Saccharomyces cerevisiae S288C: one gene and its partners. Changing the gene in region 1 together with any one later gene gives a genetic interaction. Each region holds a gene or a part of one and is shown on either strand. Other genes may lie near its edges.

Region 1 (3,459 bases):
AATCGCCCTTTGACCAAAGTGCTAAATGATAAAGCATAACCGTTATCCTTATGAAATTTTAGTGTTGACTGAAGACCTTCTGAGCGAGAATAGAGGAAAACTGTGCCTTGCCCATTTATTGTGGCGACAATATTAGGGTCTTGAGGCATATATCGGGCTCTAGTGATTTCTTCTTCGTGCTCATATTTAGCGGTAATCCTTATATTTGACCTAGGAGCAGGTAGAGAGGACTGATACTCCTCTCCTGCTTCTTCTTGTGGGTCTTCATTACTAAGAATTTCCTTTGGTAGATTAATTTCTGCGAATTTCAAATAGTTTTCTTCTTCACCAGAAGTGTGCGTACCGATGATTAATTCTTGTTTAATAAAGCCACCATCTAATTCTTGAACAGGAGTAGGGAGCCATTGGACGGTTAAAGATGGCCATGTTAAACGTGTCTCGCTAACAAAGTCATACATTAATGGAACATTGGATTTCCATAAATCGTACTCCTCGTCTACAGAAAGCGGTTTCTCTTGGTTTTCCATAGTTGATTGGTAATTTGCTATTTGGTGACTACTAGGCTAACCACAATTGATAGGAGAGATAAGAGAGGCAGAAGTATTAGAGGCATAGTAACGTCTTTCTAGTTATTCTCCATTATTATTTTCAAGGTTTGTCTTTGTCATGTCGACGAATGCCAGTGAAAACATCCGTACACCTCACAAATTGTTATTTTGAACAGAACAGACGAGCTACTCATCAAGTATCAAATAGACTGAACAAATGACCTAATCTTTCTAGATTACTCCAAAAGAAAAAGCTGAAAGGAAACCGGTTAAAAACATGAAAGCTTTCTGTAGGGAAGTTTTTTCCTCGCTCTGCTCCTGAGCCTACAGGAGCATGGAAATGGTTGAAAGGACCGAGGAAGAAAGGGAGCATGTCAAATAGAACAAGAGGAAAAAAAAGGTGAAAACAGCTATTTTAAGCAGCAGAAGTTTGAGTCAGAAATGCCTACAATATATGAGAATTTCTTCGCACATGGTTTAAAAAAACTAAATAATCCGCGTGATAACGTTCTCACCAGATTATGAAATCAAATAACAATGCCCCACCTGTATATTGCGATTGACGTAAACGGTAATAAATGTAAAATTTAACATAAAAAAGGGTAAAGAAAACAAACTTTTTCAGGGGTCATCCCTTTTTGTTTTCTTTTTCATTCTTATAAATCAAGAGTATTTTATCGGTAGACAGTTTAGCCGCCGATTTTGTACCGCAGTCCAATATTAGTAAATGTTGGGCACCACTTTGAACATACCGACTCATTGAGACTGCAAGAGCAATTATTTTATATTCTTCTTGAGGCGCCGTTAAAGAGAGAATGAACACGACAATTATCTACAGCATGCAATCGTGGTCAGAATTCTAACTTTTTGTCTTATAAATGCGCACGTATTATTTTCATTTATGTATATATAGATAAATCAGAGCATTGAGTAGTAAAACTGAAGGCTCAAGAGTTCTGATACGCGATGAGAATTCGTGCAGTTAGGATGTCAATTTTGCCAAAATTGGGACGGGCGGCTGCCGTCCGGGGATTCCATGAAGAGAGTGGAAAAAAAAGTGTCACTAACTTCCCACAGGTATCCCCGACACCCTATCCTGCGCTAAGAAAGCCAATCGGCTGAATGTGCAATTGATTGACGTTGAAGGAAAAGAAAAAAAGGAGAAAATTGGGGCGATAATAACAATCACAAACGTCTTCCACTTTTTATCAAATGTTGCGGGAAGAAATAAGGGTAAAATGCCTTGTGTAGGTTCATACATATATAAATAAGTAAGGAAGTTAAAAGAAACCCTTCAAAATGTAACCTACATCATGCGTAGGCTTAATATTAAGCGGAGAAAATCGGCAAGCCCAAGCTTATATTCATATTATGGAATACAAAAGGCGAAAAAGAAAATTGACTAGTAACTAAATTGAAAATTAAATGGCAAATGATGGGATTCAGAGGAATGACAACAGAAAGGGTTTTAAAACTGTACAGTTCTCGGCTTATTCTAAAGAAATTGACGTCATAATGAAAAAAATATCATTCTTGGAAAGAAACATTACCCAACAACTAGATACTCTTCCTCATTTTCCAAAAACCTTACCACCAAATCACAAAGATTGTGTAAGTAGAAAGCACAGGGCCAGGCGAGGTTGGAGTAGTCAGCTGAAAAACTTGCTAGGCATTTACTCCAAAGAGGAAATTTTTACTCTGGATAATTTAGCTGCAACACTGCATGATCAAGTTTTAAAGTTACAAGCTACACTTTTTCCCAATGCCATACTGAAACAGGTTCATCTCGACAATGCCAACATAGAAAACAAGAGAATTCTGAAGGAAATTACATATAAATACCTTTCCAACGAAAACTGTAAAGAGGAGAACAAATTCGGAACATTCATCGTAAAGAGAATTTTTTTTGGTGACTTATCACTCGGGGTTTCCGTGTTAATCAACCGTATTGCTTTCGAATCGGCCACATCATCCATTATGGTAGTGAGAAGTTCATTTATTGAAAGTGATTTCTTTTATGAAGATTATTTGATTTTCGATTGCAGAGCGAAACGACGAAAAAAATTGAAGAGGAAAATTTTGTTTATTTCCACTACCATGAATTTCAATTACCAAACCAAAGTCTAAGCCTGTAACAAACGTTGATTGATACCAATATTTTTTCTCTTTCATTTATCTCTCTGTATATCTAAATAGCTATACTATACATCGAATAATGCTTTCAAGCAGATGCCTTAACGTGCTCCACCACTTCGTCACAAAATTGACCTAACTTAGAGGAGTCCTTACATTCCGCATAAACCCTCACCGCATCCTCCGTACCACTGGCTCTGACAAAGCTTCTTCCCATGGGATACTTGGCTACCACAAGATCTATCTTGTCTTGCAACCCCACTGGATTGAGCAATTTTCTTTCCTGGTCCGTGGTTTGGAAAATTGACCTATCAGGAACGATGCACTTAACCAGCTTGTTGGGCAAATCAGTATACTCTTCATCCCAATCCATTGGCGACATTTTCAAAATCGCCAAAGTAGCAAGGACAGCAAGCATGTCTGAAATAGCATCTCCCACGGTCTGATTAATCAATTCAGAGAAACACTTCAAAGTTCTCAAAGCTAACGTATCACCATTTAACTTGGACTTGGATAATTCAGATTTGATAGTTCGATGAAATTTTTCGCTGAATATAATCGTACCATGTCCATTTGCTTCGAAATAAATGCCAATATCGTACTGAGTGGCAGCTTCATGATGCAAGTGTTTAACACCTGTCTTAGTGCAAGACACGGGACAGTGCAACGTATTTTTTATGTAAGCGGTGGAACTGCCGTTTGCATAGGCAGTTTGCACAACACCAATCTTCAAAGAATGTTCTAGGTGTGCCAATTCTAGTTGTTTAGACAAGAACTT
Region 2 (4,326 bases), on another chromosome or scaffold:
AAAATTTTTATTATGGTGCTAATACACCATACTATTTCTGAGGCAACACCAAAGAAGGGTCCGAGAGTTCTTAGGCAGTAAAAAAGTTACACAGCCTCAGAAGACAGGGATCATGCAGTAAAAAAAAAAGCTCGATAATTTCATCGATCAATTGACCAGCCAATTTATTCTTATACCCTTATTTCTACCGATATAAACAGTTGGATAAACGGACAGGTTGAAGTGCAACGTTATTCAATGGTGACAGTTGCTTCTGGACTAAGAAAGGCTAGACCATGTGCCAGAAGTGCAGAAAAATGAAAGCAGAGAGCAAATAAAAAAACTCGACAAACATCGGAATATCAACCAGACAATAGCAAGTGGACACAATGAAATAAAAATCTCACAGGCAAAAACGCACTTAAGGTGACGTAGATGCGTCCATCATTTAAACACGATACCAACATTATCTGATGTTTCAATGTTGAAAACTGACATTCAAATATTCCGCAACCAGCGGACGAACTGAAGGAGCAGGCGACTACAATGCGCAGGGCGATTGGCGCGGTAACTTTGCCATGATCAAATATTTGTGTAGCGCTTTGTTCACTATCGAACTTTCTAAATGAGTTAAGGAAGAGAAGAAAAACAATATGATACCGCAAATACGTATTCTCACCTAAAATGGCAAGGCAAAGCTTCGCCGAGGAATTCAGCCCGAGAGTAGAAAATTTACTAATGTGGTCTCGCGTGTGAATCAGCAATGATTCTGAAATACTCCTTTTACAACCTTTGCAAAGATAATGTCTTTCAGTCTGATATTACGAGCGACCTAGAACCACTAATCCATATTCTTCATTCAACTTACTCCATTTTCCTTGGCAAACAATGCCCCACAATCATATACGTCATAACTATAAGGGATATGTCTGGAATGCGGCCAAGATAGAATTAAAGGGCTGCAGAACACCACTACTGATACTCATTGCCAAGGCTAGGAGGCACCATCCGTTTCATTTTCTTTGAGGTAAGCCAATCATGAAATAGTATACACATCCATAACGGACGTACGGACGAAATAAGTGCCGTTGTCCCACTATTCCACCGCATTTGGCCCATTTGGCTCACTTTGACTCAACTTGCGTCATTTTAACTGATATGAAGGGTCCGACTTTGTCCTTTTTCGGCCACCGCATACCCCACGGCGATGCCTCCGCTACCTGCATTTGAGTAGCATCTCCGTTTCGCGGGGTATTCGGCGCTACGTCGCCTGTTCGAGCGGCTCTGTTCGTTGCATGAAACTAAAATAAGCGGAAAGTGTCCAGCCATCCACTACGTCAGAAAGAAATAATGGTTGTACACTGTTTCTCGGCTATATACCGTTTTTGGTTGGTTAATCCTCGCCAGGTGCAGCTATTGCGCTTGGCTGCTTCGCGATAGTAGTAATCTGAGAAAGTGCAGATCCCGGTAAGGGAAACACTTTTGGTTCACCTTTGATAGGGCTTTCATTGGGGCATTCGTAACAAAAAGGAAGTAGATAGAGAAATTGAGAAAGCTTAAGTGAGATGTTTTAGCTTCAATTTTGTCCCCTTCAACGCTGCTTGGCCTTAGAGGGTCAGAATTGCAGTTCAGGAGTAGTCACACTCATAGTATATAAACAAGCCCTTTATTGATTTTGAATAATTATTTTGTATACGTGTTCTAGCATACAAGTTAGAATAAATAAAAAATAGAAAAATAGAACATAGAAAGTTTTAGACCATGAAGGATTTAAAATTATCGAATTTCAAAGGCAAATTTATAAGCAGAACCAGTCACTGGGGACTTACGGGTAAGAAGTTGCGGTATTTCATCACTATCGCATCTATGACGGGCTTCTCCCTGTTTGGATACGACCAAGGGTTGATGGCAAGTCTAATTACTGGTAAACAGTTCAACTATGAATTTCCAGCAACCAAAGAAAATGGCGATCATGACAGACACGCAACTGTAGTGCAGGGCGCTACAACCTCCTGTTATGAATTAGGTTGTTTCGCAGGTTCTCTATTCGTTATGTTCTGCGGTGAAAGAATTGGTAGAAAACCATTAATCCTGATGGGTTCCGTAATAACCATCATTGGTGCCGTTATTTCTACATGCGCATTTCGTGGTTACTGGGCATTAGGCCAGTTTATCATCGGAAGAGTCGTCACCGGTGTTGGAACAGGGTTGAATACATCTACTATTCCCGTTTGGCAATCAGAAATGTCAAAAGCTGAAAATAGAGGGTTGCTGGTCAATTTAGAAGGTTCCACAATTGCTTTTGGTACTATGATTGCTTATTGGATTGATTTTGGGTTGTCTTATACCAACAGTTCTGTTCAGTGGAGATTCCCCGTGTCAATGCAAATCGTTTTTGCTCTCTTCCTGCTTGCTTTCATGATTAAACTACCTGAATCGCCACGTTGGCTGATTTCTCAAAGTCGAACAGAAGAAGCTCGCTACTTGGTAGGAACACTAGACGACGCGGATCCAAATGATGAGGAAGTTATAACAGAAGTTGCTATGCTTCACGATGCTGTTAACAGGACCAAACACGAGAAACATTCACTGTCAAGTTTGTTCTCCAGAGGCAGGTCCCAAAATCTTCAGAGGGCTTTGATTGCAGCTTCAACGCAATTTTTCCAGCAATTTACTGGTTGTAACGCTGCCATATACTACTCTACTGTATTATTCAACAAAACAATTAAATTAGACTATAGATTATCAATGATCATAGGTGGGGTCTTCGCAACAATCTACGCCTTATCTACTATTGGTTCATTTTTTCTAATTGAAAAGCTAGGTAGACGTAAGCTGTTTTTATTAGGTGCCACAGGTCAAGCAGTTTCATTCACAATTACATTTGCATGCTTGGTCAAAGAAAATAAAGAAAACGCAAGAGGTGCTGCCGTCGGCTTATTTTTGTTCATTACATTCTTTGGTTTGTCTTTGCTATCATTACCATGGATATACCCACCAGAAATTGCATCAATGAAAGTTCGTGCATCAACAAACGCTTTCTCCACATGTACTAATTGGTTGTGTAACTTTGCGGTTGTCATGTTCACCCCAATATTTATTGGACAGTCCGGTTGGGGTTGCTACTTATTTTTTGCTGTTATGAATTATTTATACATTCCAGTTATCTTCTTTTTCTACCCTGAAACCGCCGGAAGAAGTTTGGAGGAAATCGACATCATCTTTGCTAAAGCATACGAGGATGGCACTCAACCATGGAGAGTTGCTAACCATTTGCCCAAGTTATCCCTACAAGAAGTCGAAGATCATGCCAATGCATTGGGCTCTTATGACGACGAAATGGAAAAAGAGGACTTTGGTGAAGATAGAGTAGAAGACACCTATAACCAAATTAACGGCGATAATTCGTCTAGTTCTTCAAACATCAAAAATGAAGATACAGTGAACGATAAAGCAAATTTTGAGGGTTGATTCACACACAACTCACAAATCATATTTTGTAATTTACTTAAGAAAGCATTTTGCGGGGTTTATATTTGTTCCTTGCCGCACCAATAATATTCATATATTACTACATAACTTTAGTATTTTAACACCAGACGATCTGTCTTTTGAGGAAATATGTCCACTTTCATTTTCTTCCGCTTGCCGGCAATGCCTATAAAAAGCTTATAAAATAGCCCGACTCCGTAGTCTTAATATTTATTTAAGTACAATAATAGTCCCACAAAAATTTTTAAAACATCTTTATTGATAACGTGGACGTGTTATTACATTGGAGCGAATGATGACGGAAGTAGGAAAATCTGAATACTAAGGTGAAGATATTTTAGCAGGGTGCCGCCATGGATGTTCTATGAATGTCTTCCTTCCTTTTCTCTCATGGGACACCGCAAAAACCTGTTCTACCATCATTTAACTGCAACATACAAAAAGCCACCAACTTTCGAACACTGCAAATGGTGCTATTCTCTTTTTGCGGTCTTGCCATGATATTCTTCTTGCAAAAAGGGTTTTAGAGCAAGATTTCAAATTAGCCATGAATATCATGCATCGCTTAGAGCAGTAAGATTTTACCAGAGCTTTACAGGACCTATTTTTCATACGTTATGCACTTCATTCTTCTTGTCGGTTTGATAACAGCAGAATCTAGTTCCTTTAATTTGAACGTTAGCCCGGCAGAAGCCATACCTCGAAAACGCAGCAGCGCTTCATAGGCATATCAAAAACAGGGCAAGGGACACCATACATCACCTAGTGCTGTTACTTATAACCAACTTGACAACGATTGCACAAGAAAAGAGTATATCTGTGAAGACAGCCAAAACGCTTAACATGTTATGACAT
Region 3 (3,073 bases), on another chromosome or scaffold:
GAGGATGAAGCAACGGAAGAGCTGACAACTTCACTTGAGGATGGTGCAACGGAAGAGCTGACAACTTCACTTGAGGATGGCGCAACAGAGGAGCTGGCAACTTCACTTGAGGATGAAGCAACGGAAGAGCTGACAACTTCACTTGAGGATGGCGCAACAGAGGAGCTGGCAACTTCACTTGAGGATGAAGCAACGGAAGAGCTGACAACTTCACTTGAGGATGGTGCAACGGAAGAGCTGACAACTTCACTTGAGGATGGTGCAACGGAAGAGCTGACAACTTCACTTGAGGATGGTGCAACAGAAGAGCTAGTGGATGAAGCAATAGAAGAGCTAGCAACTTCACTTGAAGATGTGGCAGCAGAACTTGAGGTAGTTAGAGAAGCATCCATTGCTTCTAATTCTGGAAGCAGTCTAGAAGAGTACCATGGGACCATAGTCAACATATGCTCAACAGCAGAAAAGTCCACTTCAGAGTACAAAGTGGTGTAGGAGTCATCACTTGGATTTGCAACCAATTGCGCAGCAATATCCATAATACCAGCTGGCATTTGGTCCAAGGAAAAACCTGAATTTGGAGTGTAGGATAGGGTGATGTAGTCGGCAATGTTGGTCTTAACATCATCTAAAACAACGTTCAATTCGTTGATTTGTGCTTGGGTTTGAGCGTAAGCAATAGCAGCAAGAGCGGCTAGTAATGTGATTTTAGAGTAAGCCATATTTTTTATGGTATTAATAAGCGAGTGAATAGGTTTTTGTTGCTGGTTTCTATCAGAACAAGAGTAGGGAACGAGATAAGTAAACGGGCTAAAAACTGATCTGTCCTAGCGATCCTTCCCTTTTTATATTCGAAAGCTTGGGATCATATCTTACTGCGTGGAAAACAAAGAATTTGCATCCTCCCTTTTGGACTATCCTACTTGTTAGAAATGCATCGTTTAGGAACCCTGTTCTATTATTTTCCGTCATTTTTTGAGAATTTCCATTCCTTCTAAAAGTGGCAGATGGGTTGTTACGAGATTTTTACTGATAATTCGCGCGCAGCGTCGCCTCTCCGCGAGTTTCAGTGTAAGCTATTGTTGAAAAGTACTTCGTTTGCCTTTTTAAGTTGCCTTTGGTTGCCATTGTTGTATCTTCAGGGTTTTCTTCGGATCACATCAGCTGTGAGAGTACGGTTAAGTTTGGAAGTCACAACTCGATTATGCCAGTTCGTAAGTGAGCACTAGATGACCTTGCTTTCCCCGTACGAGCCGGTTACGGTAGCAACTTTTGTTTTCCTTGCGCGGAGTGTATGCCTATTCTGATCTTTAAATTTCCTGAAGTGTCTGTCGTGCGCCGTAAACGAATTATTACACACACACGAATCTGGGAAACCGTGAACCCCATACATTGTCTTTTTTTTTTCACAGTCCCTTATCAGTACCGTTTGGCTAACAAAAGCATAAAATATTGTTCGTTCAGATGACCCCTTCAGTACACCGCGTTTACAGTTTCAAAGTTCCTTTTAGAATAGCACCCTGTTCGCCGGCGGATAATTTGCACGCCGTATGAAGGAAGAACATATAAAAACGCAAAATATGAGGCATAAACAATCACAATATCCTCACCTTAGAAGTTAGCCGTAGCGGTTTTCTTGCGCGTGCTTGTTTCTTTTCTTAGTTCTAAGCTTCAGCAAACCCATCCACAATCTTTCTTCAAGAACTTTATCGTGTCTACTTCATAACAACCTGCTAAACAGATTGTGAAATCGTTCCTGCTCAAGCAAGTAGTTTATGATAAATCGTCTTGTAATAGCTCGGCAAAACAACATCATATATGAAAGTGTTTCAAGTTTTTTGCCTAGTAGCAGACTGGAAATTCCACCACCTCTCTTCCAGACTTCGGTTTACATAAGAACTTAATGGTGTGTAATTTTTTTACATACTTCTGGAAGCAGATATCATCGGCCCCCAAAGTCGCCTTCTGCAAAATAATGTGGAGATCTTATCTTGTTTTTCTCTTCTTTATGACACCAAGGATACAAACATATTGTCCTGTACCGGTACTAAGGTCAATGGCAGTATTAAATATTATCTCTCCGCTTATAATTTTTGTCAGTCCTATTAAAAAGCAAGACAGTTTACACAGCAGCGCTTGTTACGCAAATTTGACGTTAGTGGAAAAGCTGCAACTTTGGCATTCTATGTCAAACGATTAGTAATATAGTTGACTACTTTCGTAGAATTCCTTCCTCAAGAAAAATTTTCTCCGCCTTTCCTCTCTGAAGATGGAAATAACGCTGCATGGGGAAGAAAATAATGTAATTTTCGAAGCGAAAGCGAGAGAAACGGAGGGGAAAAATAAAAGTGTTTGGCGTATCATAGCCTCATTTGGAAGAATTTAACGCAGTGTAGTTTTCTTGGACGATACAGTAAACTCGACCAGGCACTAACATTACAGAAAATCTCGTATTGATATTGTTATTGCTTAAAGGGTAATCAAGGTAAACAAGAAAGAAGCTCCTCGTTGTCCGTAAATTTTTTAATAAGGAGAGAGAAAAAGAGAGATAACCAAGAGGAGAAAAAGGAATCTGCATCACATTTATTCAGGATAGTACGTTGGCTGATTTAGTACTCAGGATAAAAAATTCTATTTAAATAATGAGACCGAACAAAACAAGTCTGCTTCTGGCGTTATTATCCATTTTATCGCAAGCGAACGCCTATGAATACGTGAATTGTTTTAGCTCACTACCCTCTGACTTTTCAAAGGCCGATTCATATAACTGGCAGTCGAGTTCACACTGTAACAGTGAGTGTAGCGCAAAAGGTGCAAGCTACTTTGCCCTTTATAATCATTCAGAATGTTATTGTGGTGATACTAATCCATCTGGTTCGGAATCTACTTCCTCTTCATGTAATACGTATTGCTTTGGTTACAGCAGTGAGATGTGTGGTGGTGAAGATGCCTATTCTGTGTACCAACTTGACTCTGACACAAATAGCAATAGCATAAGCAGCTCAGATTCAAGTACGGAGTCTACTTCTGCGTCGTCTTCCACAACTTCTTCAACAACGTCCTCCACAACATCAAC

The links.
Region 2: mutations in SDD1 (region 1) and STL1 together harm fitness more than expected from each alone (negative genetic interaction), as found in Saccharomyces cerevisiae (one large-scale study listed by BioGRID).
Region 3: mutations in SDD1 (region 1) and YOR008C-A together harm fitness less than expected from each alone (positive genetic interaction), as found in Saccharomyces cerevisiae (one large-scale study listed by BioGRID).

The regions. Positions count from the first base shown.
Region 1 is NC_001137.3:44,236-47,694, reverse strand, and holds SDD1 (Sdd1p), read left to right. Parts: upstream 1-1,973; coding exon 1,974-2,675; downstream 2,676-3,459. Other genes in the region: HAT2 (Hat2p), read right to left, coding at 1-527; phosphoacetylglucosamine mutase PCM1, read right to left, coding at 2,770-3,459. UniProt on the Saccharomyces cerevisiae protein: Acts as an endogenous target of the ribosome quality control (RQC) pathway. During translation, the nascent chain has a propensity to stall ribosomes, thereby stimulating activation of the RQC pathway.
Region 2 is NC_001136.10:1,506,265-1,510,590, forward strand, and holds STL1 (glucose-inactivated glycerol proton symporter STL1), read left to right. Parts: upstream 1-1,740; coding exon 1,741-3,450; downstream 3,451-4,326.
Region 3 is NC_001147.6:341,981-345,053, reverse strand, and holds YOR008C-A (uncharacterized protein), read left to right. Parts: upstream 1-1,972; coding exon 1,973-2,197; downstream 2,198-3,073. Other genes in the region: TIR4 (Tir4p), read right to left, coding at 1-719; SLG1 (Slg1p), read left to right, coding at 2,640-3,073.